Anolis sagrei: one gene and its partners. The protein of the gene in region 2 purifies or fractionates together with the protein of the main gene of each other region. This does not show direct contact. Links are inferred from orthologs where the notes say so. Each region holds a gene or a part of one and is shown on either strand. Other genes may lie near its edges. The genes, in order: THOC1, DDX39A and API5.

What was found.
Region 1: the proteins of DDX39A (region 2) and THOC1 purify together in Homo sapiens (affinity purification with mass spectrometry; 3 studies listed by BioGRID and IntAct, with this or other methods). This does not show direct contact. The link is inferred for Anolis sagrei from reciprocal best matches to the Homo sapiens genes DDX39A and THOC1.
Region 3: the proteins of DDX39A (region 2) and API5 fractionate together in Homo sapiens (co-fractionation; 3 studies listed by BioGRID, with this or other methods). This does not show direct contact. The link is inferred for Anolis sagrei from reciprocal best matches to the Homo sapiens genes DDX39A and API5.

The regions. Positions count from the first base shown.
Region 1 is NC_090024.1:60,858,293-60,866,382, reverse strand, and holds the start of THOC1 (THO complex subunit 1), read left to right. Parts: upstream 1-5,008; 5' UTR 5,009-5,019; coding exon 5,020-5,151; intron 5,152-8,090. UniProt on the Homo sapiens protein: Component of the THO subcomplex of the TREX complex which is thought to couple mRNA transcription, processing and nuclear export, and which specifically associates with spliced mRNA and not with unspliced pre-mRNA.
Region 2 is NC_090022.1:113,422,531-113,430,067, reverse strand, and holds the start of DDX39A (ATP-dependent RNA helicase DDX39A), read left to right. Parts: upstream 1-4,459; 5' UTR 4,460-4,566; intron 4,567-7,513; 5' UTR 7,514-7,516; coding exon 7,517-7,537. Other genes in the region: MRPL12 (large ribosomal subunit protein bL12m), read right to left, coding at 238-290. UniProt on the Homo sapiens protein: Helicase that plays an essential role in mRNA export and is involved in multiple steps in RNA metabolism including alternative splicing. Regulates nuclear mRNA export to the cytoplasm through association with ECD.
Region 3 is NC_090021.1:275,016,621-275,023,655, forward strand, and holds the start of API5 (apoptosis inhibitor 5), read left to right. Parts: upstream 1-4,187; coding exon 4,188-4,256; intron 4,257-7,035. Other genes in the region: golgin subfamily A member 6-like protein 24, read right to left, coding at 2,902-3,969, 4,001-4,189. UniProt on the Homo sapiens protein: Antiapoptotic factor that may have a role in protein assembly. Negatively regulates ACIN1. By binding to ACIN1, it suppresses ACIN1 cleavage from CASP3 and ACIN1-mediated DNA fragmentation. Also known to efficiently suppress E2F1-induced apoptosis.

The DNA of each region.
Region 1 (8,090 bases), on a different chromosome or scaffold from region 2:
AAATATCTACAAGCCTTGGCTAGTAGGTCTACTCGATACCCAGATGCGTTTGGAATCGGTAGTAGGACCCACACTGATGAGGCATAGATAGTAATCAGCCTGGGAGAGGTTAAAAAGAGTTTTTTTCCCATAGAGAAAGTACAGTTAATTAAAGTCAGGTACCAGTCCATTGAGGACTAAACTAAGAAAGCCTTGAAGTATTTTTTGAACCATTGAAGATTTGTTGTTTGTTCCATAATAAAGACTTTGTTGTATCATTAAAGACTCTAAAGACCGTCACTTCAGAAAAATCCCTGAGAACCTCTCTTTGAGGCGCCCTGGCTTCCCGCTGGGCTTAAAGTATACGTCCTATAGAAAAGACAGCTGTTACAGGCCCAGCGTGCGACAGAACAATTATATTGTTCTTTCATTTTAGTTTGGGGGGTTTTTTGCACTAAAAATATGTGCACTGTGCATAGAAATTTGTTCAGTTTTTTTTTCTTTCAAACTATAGTCTCTCCCCCCCCCCCCCCCGAGGAACAGTGAACCAGCCCTTGGTTAAATAAAGTTTGAGGACCCCTGGTAAAGATCAACAGTGATCCAATACAACAAGAATTCAGGAAAGACAGGAAACACCTCTTTTGATCCAAATTGATTTCTACTGAGGAAAGAATGTGATCCAATGCAAAACTGGTGTCATGGCCAGTTTGGGAAGCATGGATGAGCAGAGGCTGGTTGAAGTCTCTGTGCTTGAACTTGAGTCTAGCCATGCCCATCAACTCCTCAACCAAGCTTTCAAGCAACACCCATTGAAGGAGTTACTGCCTGCAGAACAAGTGCAAGGGCGTTCCTTGGAGAAGGCTGAGGAAGAGGAACTGTTCCAGCTTTCATGGACCTGGAAAAAAGAGGGCCTCAGCTGCACAGGTTTTGGAGACTAGTTGAGAAATGAGCCAGCAACAGGTAACCTCCGAGAACTTCGGATTTAAGGACTTCACAGGTGGCACCTTGTTACTGGCTGCAACATCAGTTCTAGAAGCTATGACAATGGAGTGTTGCTTTCTTGTATTCCTAAACTCCGGACTTATCCTTGAACCTCAGTTTACAAATTCTAATTTCAACCTTGTACTTTGAACTCTGGTACTTGACTTATGACCTGAAATGGGACATTCGGCTTCTCTGTACTATCCTGCTATTGTCTGCCTCTCTTTTGAACTTTTCATTAACACCCTTTTGGTATTTGGGGGTCAATGCTTTTTACAACTGAGTTTGGATTAAAACAGTTGCATATGACACTAAGGGGAGTCAAGCTGGTGCAGGATACTTTGCATTCAAGCTAGGAATATAGCCCATGTGTAAATTCAGCCATAGTTATATCTCTTTAGTCACCAAAGTGCACCAAATTGTAACCAGGCAAAAAGATACCCATCCCCTTTGTGTGTATAGATTTCTTCAACCACAAGAACCCAAAACATTGCTACTCTTTTTTTTTTTTACAGTAGTGGGAACTATAAGTAAAAAGAGGTCTGTTATGAAACAGTGGCCTTTACAATTTGTTCATGTGTCACTGAAGATAGCAATGTCAACACAAACAAGAAACATTTCATTTAGCTTTCCCCAAAGACCATAAAAGCAATCTGGTATAAAGAGTAGTTGGTTGATTTGATTTGGTTTTCAACCAAGAAGTACTCTACGTGATTTATTAAAGAAAGGCTGCAGAATAGCCTTACAGAAATGTATTGTTTTAAAGCTTGTGGTAGGAGAGGAGTCCAGTCTCCAGAGAGTTGAGGAAATGAAAACATCGAGCTATGCAATGGTTTTAGTAAAAGAACAATTTCCTATTCAGAGTTTTGTATAGAATCAATCAGGGTGACAACTAGGTATGGCAGCTCCTTGAAAAGAAATACCACTTCTTCTCTCTGAGAGTTATGCACTATATTGGAATTGAGACCTTGTCTACACCAATGCTTTAACTTCACAACATTGTGGCATTTTTTTCCTGTAGGCATAGCAGGGAAATCATGTAGATGTTATTAAGTTACTACATCAAAATCTCTCCAAAGCTAAATAAAGAGCTACAGGCGGGAAAACATGCTGAGAATAAGTTACAATACAATAACATGTGTATGAGTAAAAATACGTTATTTAACACCACAGCTCTGGAAACATTGTATTGTTTGATTACAATTTCATTCAATCACTTGCATATTTCTTTAAAAAGTAGTAATAGAGAACAAATGGATGGAAGTAGAAACCTAGTATATGTGGAAAGTCCCGTATGTGCTGTGTGCTTTGAGATCTTTCTCTGCTTGTGTGTCAAGAAAGATGTAGTGACTGAGTTTTTCCCTCTCTTGAAACCTTAGAAGAGATGGGTGTTAAAATAGCTCAGACCCAGTTCTTTACCATGAAGAAATCTAATTAGTTATTTATTATTGTAAATAAAACTTTTGTGATTTTTTTTAAAGATTGGACTCTGCATGTTTGCCTCCTAAGCTCTAATTTTTTTACAACCACATCACACGACACTTCACGCTCTGCTTGCTAGTGAGCTGATGCTCAACTTTTGTATCCTGTTTGTTTTTGGATGCTCCACTACTTATTTTAGGGTAGTTTTCCCTAACATATGGACCAACCCAGCTCATATTAGCAATTGTGTCCTCTTCTTACCCAAAAACCTTCATTGTTTCTTTTTCTTCTTGAAATGATCAATGAACTCAGGTGAACCCTTTTCCCTACCTGATTTCCCTCTTTTAAAATCTGCTGTGCAAGCACATGCATCAATCCACTCTATCAGAATCATACCACTGCAGACTCAACATTGCTTTATTGTGAAATTGAACATTTGGTCATTCCAAATAAATGAACAAGCAAAAAAGAGAGGATCAAACACAATCATTTGCTAAAGAATTATTATACAAGTTGTGCTATAGTTGCAGTCTGTAGCAACTAACGAATTTTATCCTTTTATAATAATGGAGCTATTCTATCCTTCGATGGATGGAGACAAAAAGGTTAACCTTTGTGTTTTTCTAACCGTTTTTGCAGTAGTCTGATTTTCCAGCAGTACCGAGACTTGATATTGGGAAAGTTACTTTAGGGAAATATAACTCTTGGAATCTCCTAACCAGGATGGCAAGCATGGAATTCATCAAAATAATAAAATGTATCTTCCTTATCTTCTAGTTACAATCTGTAGAATTTATTCTTAACACTAATGTTTTCTATCCAATGCAGCTTTTGTTTGTGACAGTAAGAAGGAGAGGCCAATTTACCTACTAGATAAGAAAGTATTTTGGAAGGTAAAGTTGGAAGGAGAGTTATATATCTCCACATGTATACAAACACATACACACACACACAGTTATGAGGTAAGGAAGCAGTGTTTTGCCATATTTACTATTAAGGGCTCATATGAACCTGAGCTTGGACTATAACTTTGAAAAAAACAATTAATCACAGTTATAGTTTCTAGGCTCCAAAGTGTTAAGCAGTATAGTACTTACAATTTTAAAAATAATTGTTTACTTTCCCGTTCACTAGAAACTAAACCAGATATTTTAAAATTAAATATCCATCTGAGTGGTACAAGGAGCTAGTCTGTGGTTCAAATACATCAAATACACCACTGCCTATAGGAGCCCCTGGTGGCGCTGTGGGTTAAACCCCTGTGCCGGCAGGACTGAAGACCGACAGGTCGCAGATTCAAATCCGGGGAGAGGCGGATGAGCTCCCTCTATCAGCTCCAGCTCCTCATGCGGGGACATGAGAGAAGCCTCCCATAAAGATGATAAAAACATCAAATCATCCAGGCGTCCTCTGGGCAACGTCCTTGCAGACAGCCAATTCTCTCACACCAGGAGTCACTCCTGACACGACAAAAAAAAAAAACAAAAACAAAAAACCACTGCCTATGAAGTAACACACCCTACAAACTATCTACAGACCCACTAAGAAAATCCAACAAATGCTACATTTACCAAAGGACAAGAGGAGTCTACCATATACCATGCAGCTGTGGATAAGTCTACATAGGGACCAAAAAATGCAGCACCCAAACACGAATCAAGGAACATGAAAGGCACTGCAGACTAACTCAACCATTGTATGATCTGTATTATAATGTATTTTGTATTAATGTATTATGGTGCTATTATGTTTATTCTATGTGTGTATGAATTTTCTGCTGTTAGCCGGCCTGAGTCCCTCTTCGGAGGTCGAGAAGACCGGGTTATAAAAGCTCTAAATAAATAAATAAAGCAGAGAAGTCTGCCATAGCAGAGCACCTGATGAACCAACCTGGGCACAGCATTTTATTTGAGAACACAGGAATGCTGGACCACTCCAACAACTGTCATGTCAGACTACACAGAGAAGCCACTGAAATCCACAAGCATGTGGGCAATTTCAACAGAAAGGAGGAAACCATGAAAATAAACAAAATATGGCTACCAGTATTAAACAAAACTCCAAAATCAGGACAGTAAATAAAGAACCACACTCAAAAAAACAGAGGAATTCCAGACAAGAATCTATCAGGGTCAGCAAAATACCTCCCAACAAAGGATTCCCCCAGACAGGAAGCAGCCAGGCTTTGAAACTGCAAGGCCGTTCAATGCTAATCTTTTGCGAAATTCACACTTGCCTGAAGCAGAGAAAAGTTCTTTTTCCCATCCTGACATCATTCCACAGATATATAATCCTCACTTGAAAAACTACAACTTCCAGGATTCCTTAGCACTGAGCCATAGCAGTTAAAAGTGCATTAATTCTGCAGTGTAGATGCACACTTTGATGAGAATGGACAGGCTGCAAAATGTTTCCTTCCTATCTTTTTTCTCCTTCACGTTGGTTTAGACAGGATCAGGCTATTGTTATCCAAGAATGCAATACACTGCCCCTAGCGGCAAAACGGTGAAGTGAAAGCGCGGAGAGAGAGTCATGTGACTTCGCCTCTCTATGCCCCGCCCATGCTGAGACAGAGGCCCCGCCCTTTCGAACTCGCTCTCCCCCTTGTTTCCTTCTTCTCTTGTGAGCAATGCAGGCATGGACGAGGCGGAGCGTTGGCGCGGGGTTATGACGTCAGCAGACCTCGCCGTGTTTCTGTCAGGAGCGGCAACCATGTCTCCCTCGCCGCCGCTGCTCTTCAGCTTGCCTGAGGCTCGGCTGCGTTTCATGGTGAGCGGCTTGTGAGGTGTTGTTACTTCGGAGAGGAAGGCAGAAGCCGTTTATATTCCTCCCTTCGTTGCTTCCCAGCCTTTCCCACGCCTTCTCTTTGGGACTTCAACTCCCAGAAGCCCCAGCTAGCTTGGCCCAGAGTCGGGAATCCTGGGAGTTGAAGTCCAAAACTTCTGGAAGACCAAACCTTTCGAAAATACTGTTTTAACTTTGTCTGTTTTCCTCCCTTGGGCTCTTATTAGATTTGGATATGTGCCTCTTTTGTTTTGTTCCATATGTCCACTGCCTTTCAAACATCACACACAAACAAATCTTTGCTGTGTTAGGCCCAGCTTACTCTAGGCCAGGCATGGGCCAACTTGGGCCCTCCAGGTGTTTTGGACTTCAACTCTCACCATTCCTAACAGCCTCATGCCCTTTCCTTTTCCCCCTCAGCCGCTTAAGCGGCTGAGGGGGAAAAGGAAGGGGCCTGAGGCTGTTAGGTATGCTGGGAGTTGAAGTCCAAAACACCTGGAGGGCCCAAGTTGGCCCATACCTGCTCAATGGTATGCTATTTTTAATGTTTAATTATTGCTTTATTACAGATTTGATTTGGGGCCTAATTTAGGCTGCAGCATTCATAGTGTGTATTTTAGATGTGTTCATATATAATATACTAGCTGTCCCCTGCCAGGCGTTGCTGTGGCCCAGTCTGGTGATCTGGAAAATAAAGTAATGGTTTCTAATCTGTGTAATTTCTTTATGCTTGTGGGTAAACAGTATTTCTTGTTGTTTCTTTGTCAGTGTTGATGTAGAGATTGTCTGGTTTGCCTACCCTGGAATATGCAACATATAATTGCCCTTCTTTAGAGTTCCCTTTCAAATCTATGAGACTCTATCTCTCTGTGTGTGAATCATATCTATCTATCTATCTATCTATATATATATATCTATGGCTGGATGGCTCTTTGTCAGGAGGGCTTTGATTACATTTTCTTGCCCTGGTGAAGGGAGTTGGACTGGATGGCCTTGAGTATTTTCTGTTGGTTATGTGAGTTCTGTGTGGGAAGTTTGCCCCAATTATGCCGTTGGTGGGTTTCAGAACGGTCTTTGATTGTAGGTGAACTATAAATCCCAGTAACTACAACTCCCAAATGGCAAGGTCTATTTTCCCCAAACTCCATCTGTGTTAATATTTGGGCATATGGAATATTTGTGCCAAGTTTGGTCCAGATCCATCACTGTTTGAGTCCACAGTGCTCTCTGGATGTAGGTGAACTACAACTCCCAAACTCAAGGTCAATGCCCACCAAACCCTTCTAGTGTTTTCTATTGGTCATGGGAGTCCTGTATGCCACGTTTGATTCAATGCCATAATTGGTGGAGTCCAGAATGCTCTTTGATTGTAGGTGAACTATAAATCCCAGCAACTACAACTCCCAAATGACAAAACCAAAAATGTTTGAGTGAAGGACATACATTGGGTTGTTAGGTGTATGCTGTCCAAATTTGGTGTCAATTGGTCCACTGGTTTTTGAGTTCTGTTAATCCAACAAACGAACATGACATTTTTGTTTATATAGATGTGCCTTGTCTGGCTAATTTTTCCACCCTCGTCTTCAAAGTAACAGAAATCGGGCCAAACCCCAAAGTGTGCTTTGGAAAGATTTACTCCTATTGATTCCAGTGGGAATTTATTTATTTATTATTTATACCCTGATTTATCTCCCCTGAAGGGGACTCAAAGCAGTTTAACATACAAGTATTAGCATAACCATTTAAAATATACAGACATTAAGGAGTCTCCGGTGGCTCAATGATTTAAACCCCTGAGCTGCTGAATTTGCTTATCGAAAGGTTGCCGGTTCGAATCCGGGAAACGGGATTACCTCCTGCTGTTAGCCTTAGCTTCTGCCAACCTAGCAGTTTGAAAACATGCAAATGTGAGTAGATAAATAAGTGCCGCTCCGGCGGAAAGGTAACGGTGCTCCATGAAGTCATGCCAGTCACATGACCTTGGAGATGTCTCGTACAATGCCAGCTCTTCAGCTTAGAAATGGAGATGAGCACCAAGCCCCAGAGTAGGATGCGACTGGACTTAATATCGGGGTAAACCTTAACCTTTACCTTACTTATCGAAGTAAGGTAAAGGTTATATTTATACATAGGAATAAATATAAACAGTATTCAAAAATTCTCAATTAAAAACCATTAAAACAAAGTTAAAAACCACAGCAACACCCTGAATTGATCTTAAACACAGCCATCTTTAAGAGGCTGCCTGAATGAAAGGTTTTAGCCTGCCGAGGGAAGGACAGCAGGGAGCTTAATTAAGCAAGCTTAATGTGCACAAGCCTAATGTATATCTGGTTCAACTAATTTTGGCTTAAGTTAGGTAGAAGACTTTTTCAGCCCTCTAAACATAGACTGGCTGTAACTCCAAGTAACTATCAGTAGTCCTAGCTAGTAGGAAGGGATTGTGGCAGATGCAGTTCAGGAACATCTTGAATCAATATAACTTCCTTTCTCATTTAGACTGTTTTATGCTATGTAGAATTGTCATGTATCCATTAATGTAGGATTTCCTTAACGTGCCCAAAGAGTGCCTAGATTTTCAGTGCATTGTTTGAGAGTGTTATTTATTTATCAAGACAACATATGTTTAAACAGATTATTTTGGAGGAAAACTGAATTTAATTTGATGCATTGCTAAGTGAATATAGGAGTATAAGCCTTTCAGACACATGGCATTACTCAAAGACACTTGGTGCATCAGTGCCAGAGTAAAGCAGGTCTGGATCATGTGTATGCCTGAGAGTGACATCTGTTCCATCTTCTGTCATAAAAGAAAGTTGACATGTAAATATTTTGTGTATATTTTAGGAGACATTTCTTAAAATTTGCACATACTAATAAAAAAATAATATCTCTGCCAACAACTAAAAAGCTGTTTCTTTTTC
Region 2 (7,537 bases):
AAAATCTGGGGGGAAACAAATCCTGATAGCATTTCGGATAAGGAAGGTGCAACCTGTAACAAGGGGCCTAGCAACAACTTCAGGATTGGTGCAAAGGCGACCTGAGGCCTGCCTCCGCAAAGAGGGCTGCTGGGCGGGAAGCCTGGCTCCTGCAGGCCGGCTCAGGGACGCGTCTCCGCGGGTGACCTCTCGCTTCCCTTCCGTCCTTCCGTCCCTCCGTCCCTCCCTCCCTCGTACCGGAGCAAAAGGCGGAGAGTGGCGCCCAGGCGGCCCGCGGGCAGCATGGCCATGGCGGCAGCTCCAGGAGGCGGCAGGAAGGAAGGCGGCACCGGCTGCCTCTTGCTCCGGCGACAGAGGGCGCGAAAGGGACGCTCTCTCCGCGGCAACTCGTTGGCTGCTTAAAAACCATCCAATCCCGGCGGAGGTTTTCTCGCGACGCATTGGCTGGCCGAGATTGAGCGACCATGCTAGGCGGAAGTGATGTTTCAACGCCCCCCTCCGTGCCGCGCTAGGGACTGAGCTCTATGGTAGTGGTCTCAGCCTGGTCCATCCCAGCATCCCATTTTGGAATACCTACCTCTGTCTGGAAGAGGAGACCAGGATCTCTCCAAACAGGAAGTTAATGTATGTTTCACATGCACCTTGTGCGCAGGGCCGATAAGATTGTTTATATTAGCGCTGTCTGAGACCATTGTAGTCGGAGGTGACCCCCCCCCTCCCCCCCAATAAAAGATAGTTCATAATCAGGAAATTCTTAGTTTTGCCAAGGACACCAGGCTGGAACGATATATGAATGAACTTTTTTATGAATGGACTTCAGCTGATCGTTGCCCTTATGAACTTCATGTTTTCCCCTAACTGCCATGGACCCTAATGTGTGCCTATCTGTAACTGTGCTGTCACATGTTGGGCCTGTGAACGAGTCTATAGACAGGACGTGTTTCTGTGTGCCCAATAGGCCGCCGGGGGTGCTTTGGCTGAGAGGCCTTTCGGATTTCCCCACACAAAGTTCTTTTAAAGACTTAGAAAGTTCAACAAAGATTTTATTGTTGCTTAAATCTTCAATAAATCAAACAAATACTTCAAGGCTTTGAATCAACTGGTGGCTTGCTTAAATCGTGTCCACAAGGGACAGGCAACTTTCTTCATAAACTGTTTCTTCCTTCTACAAGGGAAATCCTTGATCCCTCCCTGGGCAATCTGACTTAAGCTCTGCTGGCATGGACCCCTACACCAAATTGCTTTATGGCTGCCGCGAGTGGTCCTTACCAAACAGAGTCATTTAGCAGATTTCCAAGAGGAAAGAAGGCTTTCAATTCCCAGGGAAGGCTGGCTGTAAACCGCAGAGCTGTATTTCTCCAGCAAAGAGCTGGCTGTAGAGTTGTGGAACTAAATTCCCCAACAAAGGCTATGCTGTAGTTATCTGTAGAGTTGTGGGACTGGATCCCCCCAGCAAAGCTGTAAAAGACGAAGCTTTCTACAGGTGGAACTGATTCACGTCCTGTACGAAAGGCTTCTCTGTGTGAACTGAACTAGAGGTCCCCTTTTTCCCTCCTTAACCCAGAAGAAGGGGCAGAACTAAAGAACATAATGATAATTGATGGGTCATTGGCCCTATGATTGCAAACCAAGGGAAGCCACCTTATTGCAAAATGCATGGAACTTTGGAATACATGCAAACACTCATTAGAAAGTTGGAGCTCCTGGTACAGCCGTACCAGCACAGTAACTGTATTTTATTAACTAGCCGTCCTCTGCCAGGCGTTGCTGTGGCCCAGTCTGTGTATATGTGTTGTGTGTATCTATGTGGTTTTGCGCATGCATTGTAATTTTTTTGCTTTTTAAGTCTCTTCTGCTGTGTTTTTCAGTGTTTTTATGAGTGATGGTCACTTGTTGGCCTGATAGGTGTATTGTGTCCAAATGTAGTGTCAATTTGTCCAGTGGTTTTTGAGTTATGTAAATCCCACAAACAGACATTGAATTTTTATTTATATAGTTGATTTTATATGATTTATATGTACATCTGTATCAAAATCTGAGGAAAAGGTGACCTTTTTATGAACTCTAGCCAGCTCTTCCTGACTCAGGTGCCACAAGCTGCCCTGGGTCTGCATTTTGTTGAATGGACTCTCAAGCATTTCGCAATATAGACAATAACTGGATGACCCCTTTTCTTAAGCCTCAGAGGATCAAGCCACTTAAGAATTGGGTAAACTTTTGGACACTTTAATCACTCTTCGAAAAGGATTTTTCCCCTCTTCGAGGAGAAGGGGATGTCACAGCTTCCCAAAACAATGGCATTTCCTTCCCCAGTAAACTGGATTAGGAGATCATCAAGATATTAATATCGGTGTATTTTTTAACAATGGGTTGACTCCAAGGGGCCAGAGAGAAATGTTATTTCAAAACTCTGTAGCAATAGCTAGGTTGGGCTTGAGGGCTTACAGCAATCACTTCGATTGCCTGTCAATAGGATCTGGGATGGGCCACTCATAATCCTATCATCAAGCTACTATTTTCTTTTGTTTTACTGTTGCCACACCTCCTTGCAGCTGAAGGAGGGCTCAGGCTCCCATTGGATGAGCCACACCAGCCCCCTGGCCGCTCTTCCTGGCTTGCTGATGTCACAACCAATCACAGCAAAGCGGGCGGGAAATTTGAATGGAAAAAACTGTATATATTGTCTAGTTTTTTGTATTGGAACCATGGTGGTTTCTTCAGCAGATTACTGCAGCCGTCATCCTTTTCCAGCTGGAACAGAAATAAATACCTTGGTGGCTTCTCTTCAACTTGGTGAGATTTATTCTGGAATACTGGCTTCTTTTCTCACCAGGCTAAACCCACAGTGGCTTGGATCTCACTATCCACAACCATTCTAAATTGCACGACGCCAGTACCCCTTGGCTTATGGTACTACTACTAGGCCTCACTTGGGGGCATCCAGGCAAGTCTTCGGACTCTCTAGTCGGCCTGCTGTTGCTATATGTGCCACTTTTAGCTCTGATCATGGAACAAAACATGTGTTTAAATAAAAAGCAAAGATGTACAAACCAAACCACCCTTGTATGAGTCTTAGGTCTACATATCATAGCGTTGTGAGAAGATTGTGTTGTTGTTTATTCGTTCAGTCACTTCCGACTCTTTGTGACCTCATGGACCAGCCCATGCCAGAGCTCCCTGTTGGCCATCACCACCTCCAGCTCCTTCAGAGTCAAACCAGTCACTTCAAGGATACCATTCATCCATCTTGCCCTTGGTTGGCCCCTTTTCCTTCCATTTCTCCAAGCATCATTGTCTTCTCTAAGCTTTCCTGTCTTCTCATTATGTGGCCAAAGTACTTCATCTTTGCCTCTACTATTCTTCCCTCCAACGAGCAGTCAGGCTTTATTTCCTGAAGTATAGACTGGTTGGATCTTCTTGCGGCCCAAGGCACTCTCAGAACTTTCCTCCAACACCACAGTTCAAAAGCATCTATCTTCCTTTGCTCAGCCTTCCTTATGGTCCCGCTCTCACATCTGTAGGTTACTATGGGGAATACCATTGTTTTAACTATGCGGGTTTTCATTACCAGTATGATGTCTCTCTGCAGTTGGCAGAGGAACAGAGGAATACTCTTAGCTCACAATGCAATGTCTTGTTACAGGACAAATAAGTTTTTTTAAAATAAATAAATAGGGCAACTTCTTGGGAGACATAACAAGGCCACTTCTGTGGCAGTCAATCCAATGTGGTCCACCAGCAGGGTATTAGTTTTAAGGAGAAGAGAGAGACTGAAACTATACAGTCGGCTGCTCACAGAAAACAAACTTTTTCTACAGTCTGAAATCATGGGAGTTGTAGTTTGTAGAAAAGGATGAAGACTTAGGACCCCTATATCCCAGGTTTTCTTGATTATATGAGTCCTCACTGCCAGATAATCTGGGATAAACAGAAAAGCTGGGATCAGATGCTGGGATATACGGCCTGTCTGGAATGGCTCCTTCTGAAACGACAACTCCCATGATTCTATTGCACACAATCCCAAACTGTGGCTTGGTAGCTGTTTGGGCTTTACTTTGGGAGAGCCACCCTCACACGGCAACCCTGCAGCTGTTTGGGCCTTCAACTCCCAGAATTCCTGACCAATGAACAAGCTGACTTGGGCTTCTGGGAGCTGGAGTCCCAAACAGCCGGAGGGTCGTAGTTTGAGGATGTCTGTTCTGTATAGCATTGAGTCAGGGCAGTTAACATGGTACAAAACGGCATTAATGCTTCATTGGCGATACATCCACGCTCTTTCCTCCCGCAGCCATTTTTCTCCAGTTCGTTCCCTCTCTTCCTTCCTCCCACCTTCCTAAAGACCAGGGAAGGAGATGAGAAACCGTACGTCATCTTCCGTGAGCCAATCAGGGGACGGAGAACCTTGATTGACGGCTCTGAGGAGTGAGGTTCCCATTGGCGGCTTGGGAATGGCGGCGGGCTCTTACTCATCGGCGGCCAGTGCGAACGGGAGGGACTTCCGGGGCGTCTCAGTGGCAGCGCGGTCTGTGCAGAAGCGAGGACGAAGGCGCGAGTTGGAGCCGGAGGGTGAGTGAGTCCCCGCTGCTCCGCCTTTTGGGCCACAGCCGTTGTCCGGGGCGAGGCCTGGCGGCGCCTGTGTCCTAAGCCGCAAACGCTCCGGCCCGCGGCAGGGCCCAGGCTAGTCCCGGTCCTCTGGCCTTTGCCACCTGCCCCCGCGGGGCCCTCTCTTTCCCCGCCTCGCCGCGGTATCCCCAGTCACCCTTTAGCAGACGAAAACGGCCTTCGGGGAGAGAGGCCTTAAGGTCTGGAAGAAAGGGAGAGCAGCCACGTTGGCGGCCATTGTTTGGTCTACAAACCAATATGCCAACTAGTGGGAGGTGCTTGAAAAGAATTGCAAGGCATGTCACATATTAGAAAAAGCAGGGAGTAAAGCCTTGCTGGTTCTTAAGCAGCCTTGCTACGAGGCGGATGTTAGTACTGGAGCTAACCTCTGTTTTTTCGGTATTGTCCCATTATCAGGGCAGAGGCCACTAGGGGGTGCCAGAGAAGGAAGGAGAGTCCATTTTAGGGGGAGGAAAACCATTCCCCCCGTTTTCGCTCGTTATTCCCCCTCCCCACTTCCCATATAAACAGTATGAGGAAGTGGGGGGGGGGGGGAATAATAGAAAAACGGGGTAATGGTTTTCCTCTACCACCCCTATGAAATGGACTATTCTTCTGTCTGTAGTGCCCCCTAGTGGCTCCCAGTGCAACAGAACTGTATTTTCTTTATATGTTTATTATTATGAGGCTGGATGGCCATCTGTCGGGGGTGCTTTGAATGCAAATTTCCTGCTTCTTGGCAGAATGGGGTTGGACTGGATGGCCCATGAGGTCTCTTCCAACTCTTTGATTCTATGATTCTAGAGGGGGGCAAAGCATAACCCAGCAGAGGTTGGTGGACAATGGCTCCCAACATTTTTCATTATTGAGGGCCCTCCCAAAGGCTGACGGGAGTTGCAGTCCACCAAGATCTGGAGAATGTCTTTGTCCTCCGTGGTTTATAAAATGAAAAGTAGTTTTCAAAGGGAGTGCTTGCACTTGTTGTGCTTTGTTCTCATGTCAGTTTTACGCTGTATAGATGCCTAGTGATCTATCATTTATGGTATATGGATGAGAAAGCCAGCCTGGCAGAATGGCCTGAGTGCTAGAGTATAGCCCTGGAGACCAGGGTTCGACACCTCCCCGAGCCATGCAAACTTTGGTCATAGTTTTAAAAAATGCAATATAAAAATTAAAAGAAAACCAACTTAATAATATAGTGTGGTTTAAGGTAAAAACATTAAAATATAATAAATGCACTTAAAATGGCTGTTAAAACCCACAAAATAGGAACCTTTTTGAAAAGCATGATAGATGTCCCTTCAACACCCCTCCCCCCAATTAAATAATAATGATAATAATAATAATAATAAAGCTTTATTTATACCCCACTACCATCTCCCCAAGGGACTCGGTGCGGCTTACATGAGGTCGAGCCCACAATACATCAGCAAAAAACAACAACAGCAGTAATACAAAACAATAAAATAAAGCTCATAAACAAAAAATAGGCAATAAACATCGACAATAACACAATAACATTTAAAAACCAATGGCTGGGCCAAATGTAATAGTTAAAATTTTAAAAATAATGCTGGACAAGACCAGGTGAAATATAACTCGGATAGAATTTCGGAAAAGAATGGGGCGTACAGACAGTTCTAGATCACTAATAAGGTGCAATAAATAAGACTCCTGGTGTGATCAAAATAAAGAAAGTAAAGAGAAAGCTTGAGATTAGAGAAAAGCTTTCTTTTGGCCTCTTTCATATCATCTTTTCTGATTGCAACATAAATATCTGAGCAGAGAAGGAAAGATAATGTATGCCATTTGTATGTGCTGTATGTGACTCTGTAAGTTGCTTTCTGGTCATTAGATATGTGGTTAGAGAGGTGCCCATTACTGCATGTGGGGATAATTATTGTTATGCTACAAGTAACCTGGGAAATAATACTTTAATTGGGAAAAATAATGTATGGTAGCAACTTTAAAGAGTGTATTATTCCTTTGAATAAACATGGTTTAGGGTGTTGCAGTTCTCCCATATTTTGTCTCCACTTTTCTTAAACTATTCCTGCAAACTTGGAATATATCTCTGTATTCCTTGATGATTTGCCCTTGTTTCCATTCACTTTACTGTGTAACCACACTGATTTTTAAAAGATGCTTAAATCTTTTCTGCTTTCATGTAATTTTTGTGATGGTGTTTTTAGCAGTTTCTTCTCCATGAAATCCTTCCTATGCTGGGTGTCTATTTCCTTTAGCATCTCTGACAATGAGATTCTGCCCAGTATTTCCTTGAGTTTGATTAAAAGTAGTTTTCCTGAAATCCAAACTACTTTACTCTGTTCAACAATAATGAAGTCTAGCATTACATGATCACTGTTCCCTTAAAAGTACCAACTTTTTGATTCCACTAACCAACTCCTCTCTATTGGTTAAGATTGAGTCTAAGACTCCTGGCTCCCTTGTTCCTTCAACTTTTGAAAGCGGAGAATATTTGCAGAACTTGTGGCTAGTAGAGCAAATCACCTAGCCAATATCAGAATAACTGAACTATCCGTTCTTATATCTGTGAGATTTTAAAGATTTGTTTCAGAAAAATGTAATCTACTACGTCTTCTTAGTTTGGTGGTCTGCCATGTTGTTTTTATTGTTTCTCAGGTGGTCTCCACTGATCTTTAGATTGCTCCCATAGATTTCTGGACAAGAAGCTATGAATTTGAAATATAATGCGGTTCTCCCTCCTTTTCTTTCCCCATCTGTTGTTTTTAAATACATATAGTTTATCCCTCAATTGTTATATTCCAATCATGGGAGCCATGCCACCAAGTTTGTGTTATGTCTACAGACTTAATGGCCATCACTGGCTTAACTGTCTTTCTGCAAGGCTCTAGAAACACCCATTAATATGCATGTTTCCTTCCCATAGAACATGGCTGAGCAAGATGTGGAG
Region 3 (7,035 bases), on a different chromosome or scaffold from region 2:
AACCACTCTGGATGCCTGAAATATTTAAGTGGGCACCCTTAGAAAGCATATATGAAAAGGAGTTCGACCCTACATGGTGTTTTGTTTTTGTTTTTGTCATGTCAGGAGGGACTTGAGAAACTGCAACTCGCTTCTGGTGTGAGAGAATTGGCCGTCTGCAAGGACGTTGCCCAGGGGATGCTCAGATGTTTTTTGATGTTTCATCATCTTTGTGGGAGACTTCTCTCATGTCCCCACATGATGAGCTGGAGCTCATCCACGCTCTCCCCGGATTTGAACCTCTGACCTGTTGGTCTTCAGTCCTGCCAGCACAGGGGTTTAACCCACTGCGCCACCAGATTTGTATGACATAAATGGGCAACTGATTGCAATAGGTGGGATAACAGATAAAGTGGGATATAAAATTGGATAAAAGTATTAGGCCTATATAACAAACTTAGTAAAGTTAAGGTTTTCCCCTGACATTAAGTCCATGAGCACATGGAGATGAGCACCAACTCTGCAGGTTGGTGCATATCTCCATGTCTAAGCTGAAGAGCCAGCATTGTCCATAGACACCTCCAAGGTCATGTGGCCAGCATGATTGCATAGAGCGCTGTTACTTTCCTGCCAGAGCAGTATCTATTGATCTACTCACATTTGTATGTTTTCGAACTGCTGGGTTGGCAGAATCTGGGGCTAACAGTGGGAATTTACCCCACTCCCCCGATTTGAACCGGTGACCTTTCGATCAGCAAGTTCAGCAACTCAGCGGTTTGACCCACTGCGCCACCGGGGGCTCAAACTTAAACAAGAGAAATATGGGGAATGTCTAGGCAGAAAAAGCAAGTTGGAAAGTATATTTACGAAAGGACAGAAAACAGAGAAAGGATTAGTAGTATGTATAAAATGATGATACAAGATGATGAATATATAGTAAGAACACTAAAAAATAAATGGCAGAAGGAAGGGCCACTCACAAAACAAACTATAGAGGAAATAAAGAAGTGGGTTAAGAAAATTAAACAGGAAAAATATAGAGTTAGAAAGCAAATTTATCTGGAAATGTCATTGGATACCAGCCCAACTAGCAAATATGGGAATAGGACTACGTCCAATGTGTTGGCATTCTAAAGTAGAGAAAGGCTGGTATGCACATATGGAGTGGGATTGTTTAAATATAACAATTTTTGGAATAAGATAATAAAAATGGGTAAACTATTCAAAATAATAATCCAGGTCATCATGGAACTTATGTTAATGGCAATTATAGGGAACAAAAATATTGCTGCAAAGAATCTATGTAAAGCAATGATTCCAGCAGGAAAGGCGGTAATAGCCTGGGGATGGAAAGATGGAAAAATATGAAATATGAAACGGACATTATTACACTGAAGAAGGTTCATAGGAGGACAAAACAGATGTAATTAAAGAGAAATGAGCAATGTGGTGGGTGGGGTTGGGAAAGGAGGTAGGAAGAGGTGGGAGAGAAAAAATGTAATGAGAACAAACTTGTAAAAAAGGTCAAAAGATAATATAGAAATACTTTATCACAATGTAAGCTCACCACAGACATTTATTATCTGCTCAGAGACCATGTTATATTGTATTCAATAAAAAAATATTAAAAAGAAGGACATTTCTCAAATCTCTACGCTAAAAGGGGTGGTCACCCGTGTTATTCCCTCTCAATGTGTTGAGGTTGTTCAAAGTCCTCTTTTATACCACGGAGCCATGAAATTGTGTGCCGTACATTAAATGGCAAAATCAATTGTTTTTTGCTTTTGGTGTTTTTAAATTTATGTATTTTCAAGCCATAGATGGCTGAATCTGTAGATATGGAGGACTGACTACAATAAGGGTTGGACATTCCTTATTGGGAATTGCAAAATCCAAAATACTCCAAACTCTGTTAGCTCTGCATCTAGTGGTGCCAGAGCGCAGTCTGTTTAGCATGTTCCAGGTCATCCACTCTTCTGTGTGCCTGCCCAGGAGGGAGTTTCTCATCTGGCCTCACCCACTAATTAAAGTGCTTTGTTTTAACCTGCCACTTTTGGATTCTTACTTGTTGAGGTGTCCATGCAAGTATCTTTCTCAGTCTTAGGAAGCTGTTTCTTGATTTAAGACTTTGGCGTGCTGGCTGATATCTGAACAAGGGATGGACTGGACCATTGCCTTGGTCCTTTCATTACTGGCTGCTACATCCCAACAGATGTCAGGTGATGCAATACCAGCGAAACAGTATAATTTTTCCATCGGTGTGGGGTGTAGACATCCTGTGATAATGCGCCATGTCTCATTAAGAGTCACATCCACTGTTTTAATGTGGTGCCATGTATTCCATGCTAGGCATGCGTATTCACCAGCAGAGTAGCAAAGCACAAGGGCAGATATCTTGCAGCAGCAGCCAATAATGAAAGGACCAAGGAAGTGAAATCTCCAGTCCATTCTCTGTTCGGATATCAGCCAGCACGCCAACACCTTAAATCAAGAAATAGCTTCCTAAGATTTACAGAGATACTCGCAGGAACACCTCAGCAGGTGAGAGTCCAAAAGTGACAGGCTTGAACCCAGAACCTCAATCCATAGCTGATACCAAATATGATTCCCTCCTGGGTACACATAAGACTGGGCAGCTTGGAAAGCGCTGAACAGCCTGCACTCTGGCACCACAAGATGCAGAACCAATCCTCAGAAATGGGGCCACAAAGTGGAGTCCACAGCATGCGAGTGTGGAGAAGAGCAGACCACAGACCACTTACTACAATGCGGTCTGAGCCCTACCACATGCACAATGGAGGACCTCCTTACAACGACACCAGAGGCACTCCAAGTGGCCAGCTTCTGGTCAAAGGAAATCTAGTGTAATGCCAAGGGTTTTAAAACTTTGTTTGTGGTTTTTTATAAGTTATAACTGTATTTTCAATTCCCTTCCAACACGATAAATATATGAATACGCAGCAGCAGCAGCTGCTCCTGCTGCTGCTGCTTCTGCTGCTGCTCCTGCTTCTTCTGCTGCTGCTCCTGCTTCTTCTGCTGCTGCTGCTTCCGCTCCTGCTTCTTCTGGTGCTGCTTCTGCTTCTTCTTCTGCTGCTCCTGCTTCTTCTGGTGCTGCTGCTTCCGCTCCTGCTTCTTCTGGTGCTGCTTCTGCTTCTTCTTCTGCTGCTCCTGCTTCTTCTGGTGCTGCTTCTGCTTCTTCTGCTGCTGCTGCTTCCGCTCCTGCTTCTTCTGGTGCTGGTTCCGCTTCTTCTTCTGCTGCTCCTGCTTCTTCTGGTGCTGCTTCTGCTTCTTCTGCTGCTGCTGCTTCCGCTCCTGCTTCTTATGGTGCTGCTTCTGCTTCTTCTTCTGCTGCTCCTGCTTCTTCTGGTGCTGCTTCTGCTTCTTCTTCTGCTGCTGCTTCCGCTCCTGCTTCTTCTGGTGCTGCTTCTGCTTCTTCTGCTGCTGCTCCTGCTTCTTCTGGTGCTGCTTCTGCTTCTTCTTCTGCTGCTGCTTCCGCTCCTGTTTCTTCTGGTGCTGCTTCTGCTTCTTCTTCTGCTGCTCCTGCTTCTTCTGGTGCTGCTGCTTCCACTCCTGCTTCTTCTGGTGCTGCTTCTGCTTCTTCTTCTGCTGCTCCTGCTTCTTCTGGTGCTGCTTCTGCTTCTTCTGCTGCTGCTGCTTCCGCTCCTGCTTCTTATGGTGCTGCTTCTGCTTCTTCTTCTGCTGCTGCTGCTGTTTCCACTCCTGCTTCTTCTGGTGCTGCTGCTTCTGCTTCTTCTTCTGGTGCTGCTTTTTCTGGTGCTGCTTCCACTGCTGCTTCTTTTGGTGCTGCTTCTGCTTCTTCTTCTGCTGCTGCTGCTTCTGCTTCTTCTGCTGCTTCTTCTTCTTCTGGTGCTGCTTCTGCTTCTTCTTCTGGTGCTGCTTCTGCTTCTTCTGCTGCTGCTGCTGCTTCTGCTGCTCCTGCTTCTTCTGGTGCTGCCACTGTCCCCGCCAACTCTCCAGCTGCAGCTCGCCCTCCGCGCCGACAGGGGTCGCTGTGGGGCACGCGCGGCCTGCTTCCCCGGCGCCGGATGTTGCGATAAGCCTGCGCGGCTTGACACGGCGCTTCCGTTCGCGGTGGGGGTGGTGAAGGAAAGCTGTTGTCGTTGTCGTCTCTGTTGCTGTCGCTTTCGCAGAAGCCGAGGGTTTGGCAGGCCTGAGCAGGAGGAGGAAGCGCAGCCCTCGCCGCCGCCATGCCCACCGTGGAGGAGCTGTACCGCAACTACGGCATCTTAGCCGACGCCAAGGAGACCGCGGCCGAGGTGGGGAAGGGCGCAGGGCCTGCCGGGTGGCTCAGCCCGGAGCTCCAGGCACCTGGGCCCCGTCTTCGGGCGAGGGGAGTGGGGAAGGAGAACGAGGGAGCAAAAGGCCTTAGCTAGGGGCCTTGCGGACTCGCGATGAAGGGAGCCGGGCTCGGATCCTCTCCCCCATTTAGCCCTGGCAGGCCTCGGTGCCTCTCTGAGGCCTCTGGTTTGCTCAGTGGGAAGTCTGTTTTGCGGGGGGGACTTCTGGAAGCTCTTTCCACGCCTCCCTCGGTTCCCGGGCTCGCTTATGAAGTGTATTCTGCTCTTTCATGTGTTGGGAGCCAAGGTCGACGCTAGATTTTGCATCCAGGGTTATTGGTGTGAATTCTCGACCGCTTCTACAAACGCCCAAAAGAGTTTGGAATTGTATCGCTGCATTTACATTAGAAAGCCTTTTCGCTCTTTGCCAATAATATTTTTTTTTATTCATACCCGCCTCTTCTCATGACTGAAGGCGGGTTACAAAGCAATTAAAATACATAAACACAGCAAAAACGCTACAAATATACAAACTAAAATGTACCTCCATAAAAGTTACACGCCAATATGAAATACATATTAAAACAGACAAAACAAAGATTAAACAAAGGACATGCATTAAAATGCATGTTTATATTTAAAGACTGGGTAGGCCTGCTGGAAGAGACGGGTCTTCACTTGTGCCTTAAATTCTGACAGCTGATCGGTAGCCCCACAGCCTTAATGCTACCCATGAAAAGGTCCTCTGGGTGGTGGTTGCCAGTCAGGTTCTGGCTAATTGGTGTAGCCTCCCCCCAGAGGACCTAAGTGTGTAGGGTGGATTGGGTGGGAGAAGGCAGTCCTTTAGATAACCTGGATCCAAACCATGTTAGGCTTTGAAAGTCAAAACCAACACTTTGTGCTTTGCTTGGAAACTAATTGGCAGGCAGTGGAGTGATTTTAGGATACGTATAATATGCTGACTCTTAGATCTTCCTGTAACCAATCTGGCTGCCATATTTTGAACCAACTAGAATTTCCGAAGACCTCCTGGTGGCACAGTGGGTTAAAGCGCTGAGCTGCTGAGCTAGTTGATTGAAAGGTCGCAGGTTCGATTCCGACAAACTGCGTGAGCTTCCACTGTTAGCTCCAGTTTCTGCCATTCTAGCAGTTTGAAAACATGCAAATGTGAGTAGATCAATAGGTACCACTCCGGTGGGAAGGTAACCGCATTCCATGCAGTCATGCTGGCCACATGACCTTGGAGATGTATATGGACAACGCCGGCTCTTCGGCTTAGAAATGGAGATGAGCACCACACCCCAGAGTTGGACACGACTGGACTTAATGTCAGGGGAAAACCTTTACCTAGAGTTTCCAATCTTGGTACAAGGGTAGCCCAATGTAAAGTGCATTGCAGAAGTCGAACCTTGAGGTTACCAGTGTGTGCATTAGCATCTTCAGGGCCTCCAAATCTAGAAAGGGGTGCAGCTGGTGTAGCAGATGAAGCTGACGGCAGTTCTGACTTATCGCATCTACCTGGACTGACATTTGGAGAGACAGATCCAGGAGTACTCCCAAACTGCAAACACAGTCTTTCAGGGGGAGTGTAACCCTATCTAGAACTAGTTGACAAACCTCCATCCCCAGATGAGGACCTTTGATGGCACGCTCCTCTGTTTTGTCTGGATTCAGTTTTAACTTATTTTTTCTCATCCAGCCCATTATCTCCTCCAGGCATTCATTCAGAGGAGATATGCTATCCTTATCTCAAGCTGTTTTTGAAGGCATGGAGAAATATATTTGGGAGTCATCAGCAAAGGTGTGCATGTTGTAGCCAATGAGAGATCTGCTTGGTTCAAGATGTCTTATTCCTGAATTAAGTGCAATGGCACACTGTCCACAGGAATGCAAGTGTCTAACGGTTTGGACAAAGACTGGGGTTTTCTTCTGGCATGAAAGCCTCTGGTTGAGCTCGGACAAGTCGGCCTTTCTCATCCTCCCGAGAAGGCAGTGGCAAGCCTCTTCTGAACAAATCTTGGCAAGGAAATCCTGTAAGAGGGTTGCCATAATCTACTGTGTGCCTTGCTCATTTTTAAATGCAATACTATGTTATCTGTAGGAATGAAAACCAGCTCTAGGTGCATTTTACATGGCAGAATTTATACCAGCAACAACATAGATGGATCTTTGGATCCCCCCCAAACCCATGTCCTCAACTAACAACTCCCTCTTGGGTAACTTCTTTGCAGATGTGTTCTCAGTGCAATGCCATGTTTTAGATACATACCATGATTTGGTTTGTATCCAAAGCTTCCTAAGGTACATTGAAATTTGACTTATAATTAAATCTTAAATTTAAAAAGTGAATTTCTTTCTGCTGCTGTAAGAAATGGCACACTTCACAATTCTTCCATTTTTGTCTCATCTGTAATATTGGTTTTTGAGGTATGAGCAGTCTATGTACATCCTCATAACATAATACAATACATTACCCTCTGAATTAAGCTTGCAAAGCTTGTATGTAAAATTATAGACTTCACGTAAAGATTATGTTCCATATTTTTCTTTATTAGGCTTCTTTGCACCAGAAAAAAATGATATACATATGTCTCGGATTTATTTAGGTGTGTTACGTAGCAGAAAAATCTTGCTGCCTGGAATCTTCCTGTTGTTTTAGGCTGCTGTTGCTAGAGAAGAGGCTAGAATGTGTCCTTTCATTGAGCCTGTTGCCACCCATGAGGACTCATGCTGCTGAAGTTTCTAGCATTACAAGTTG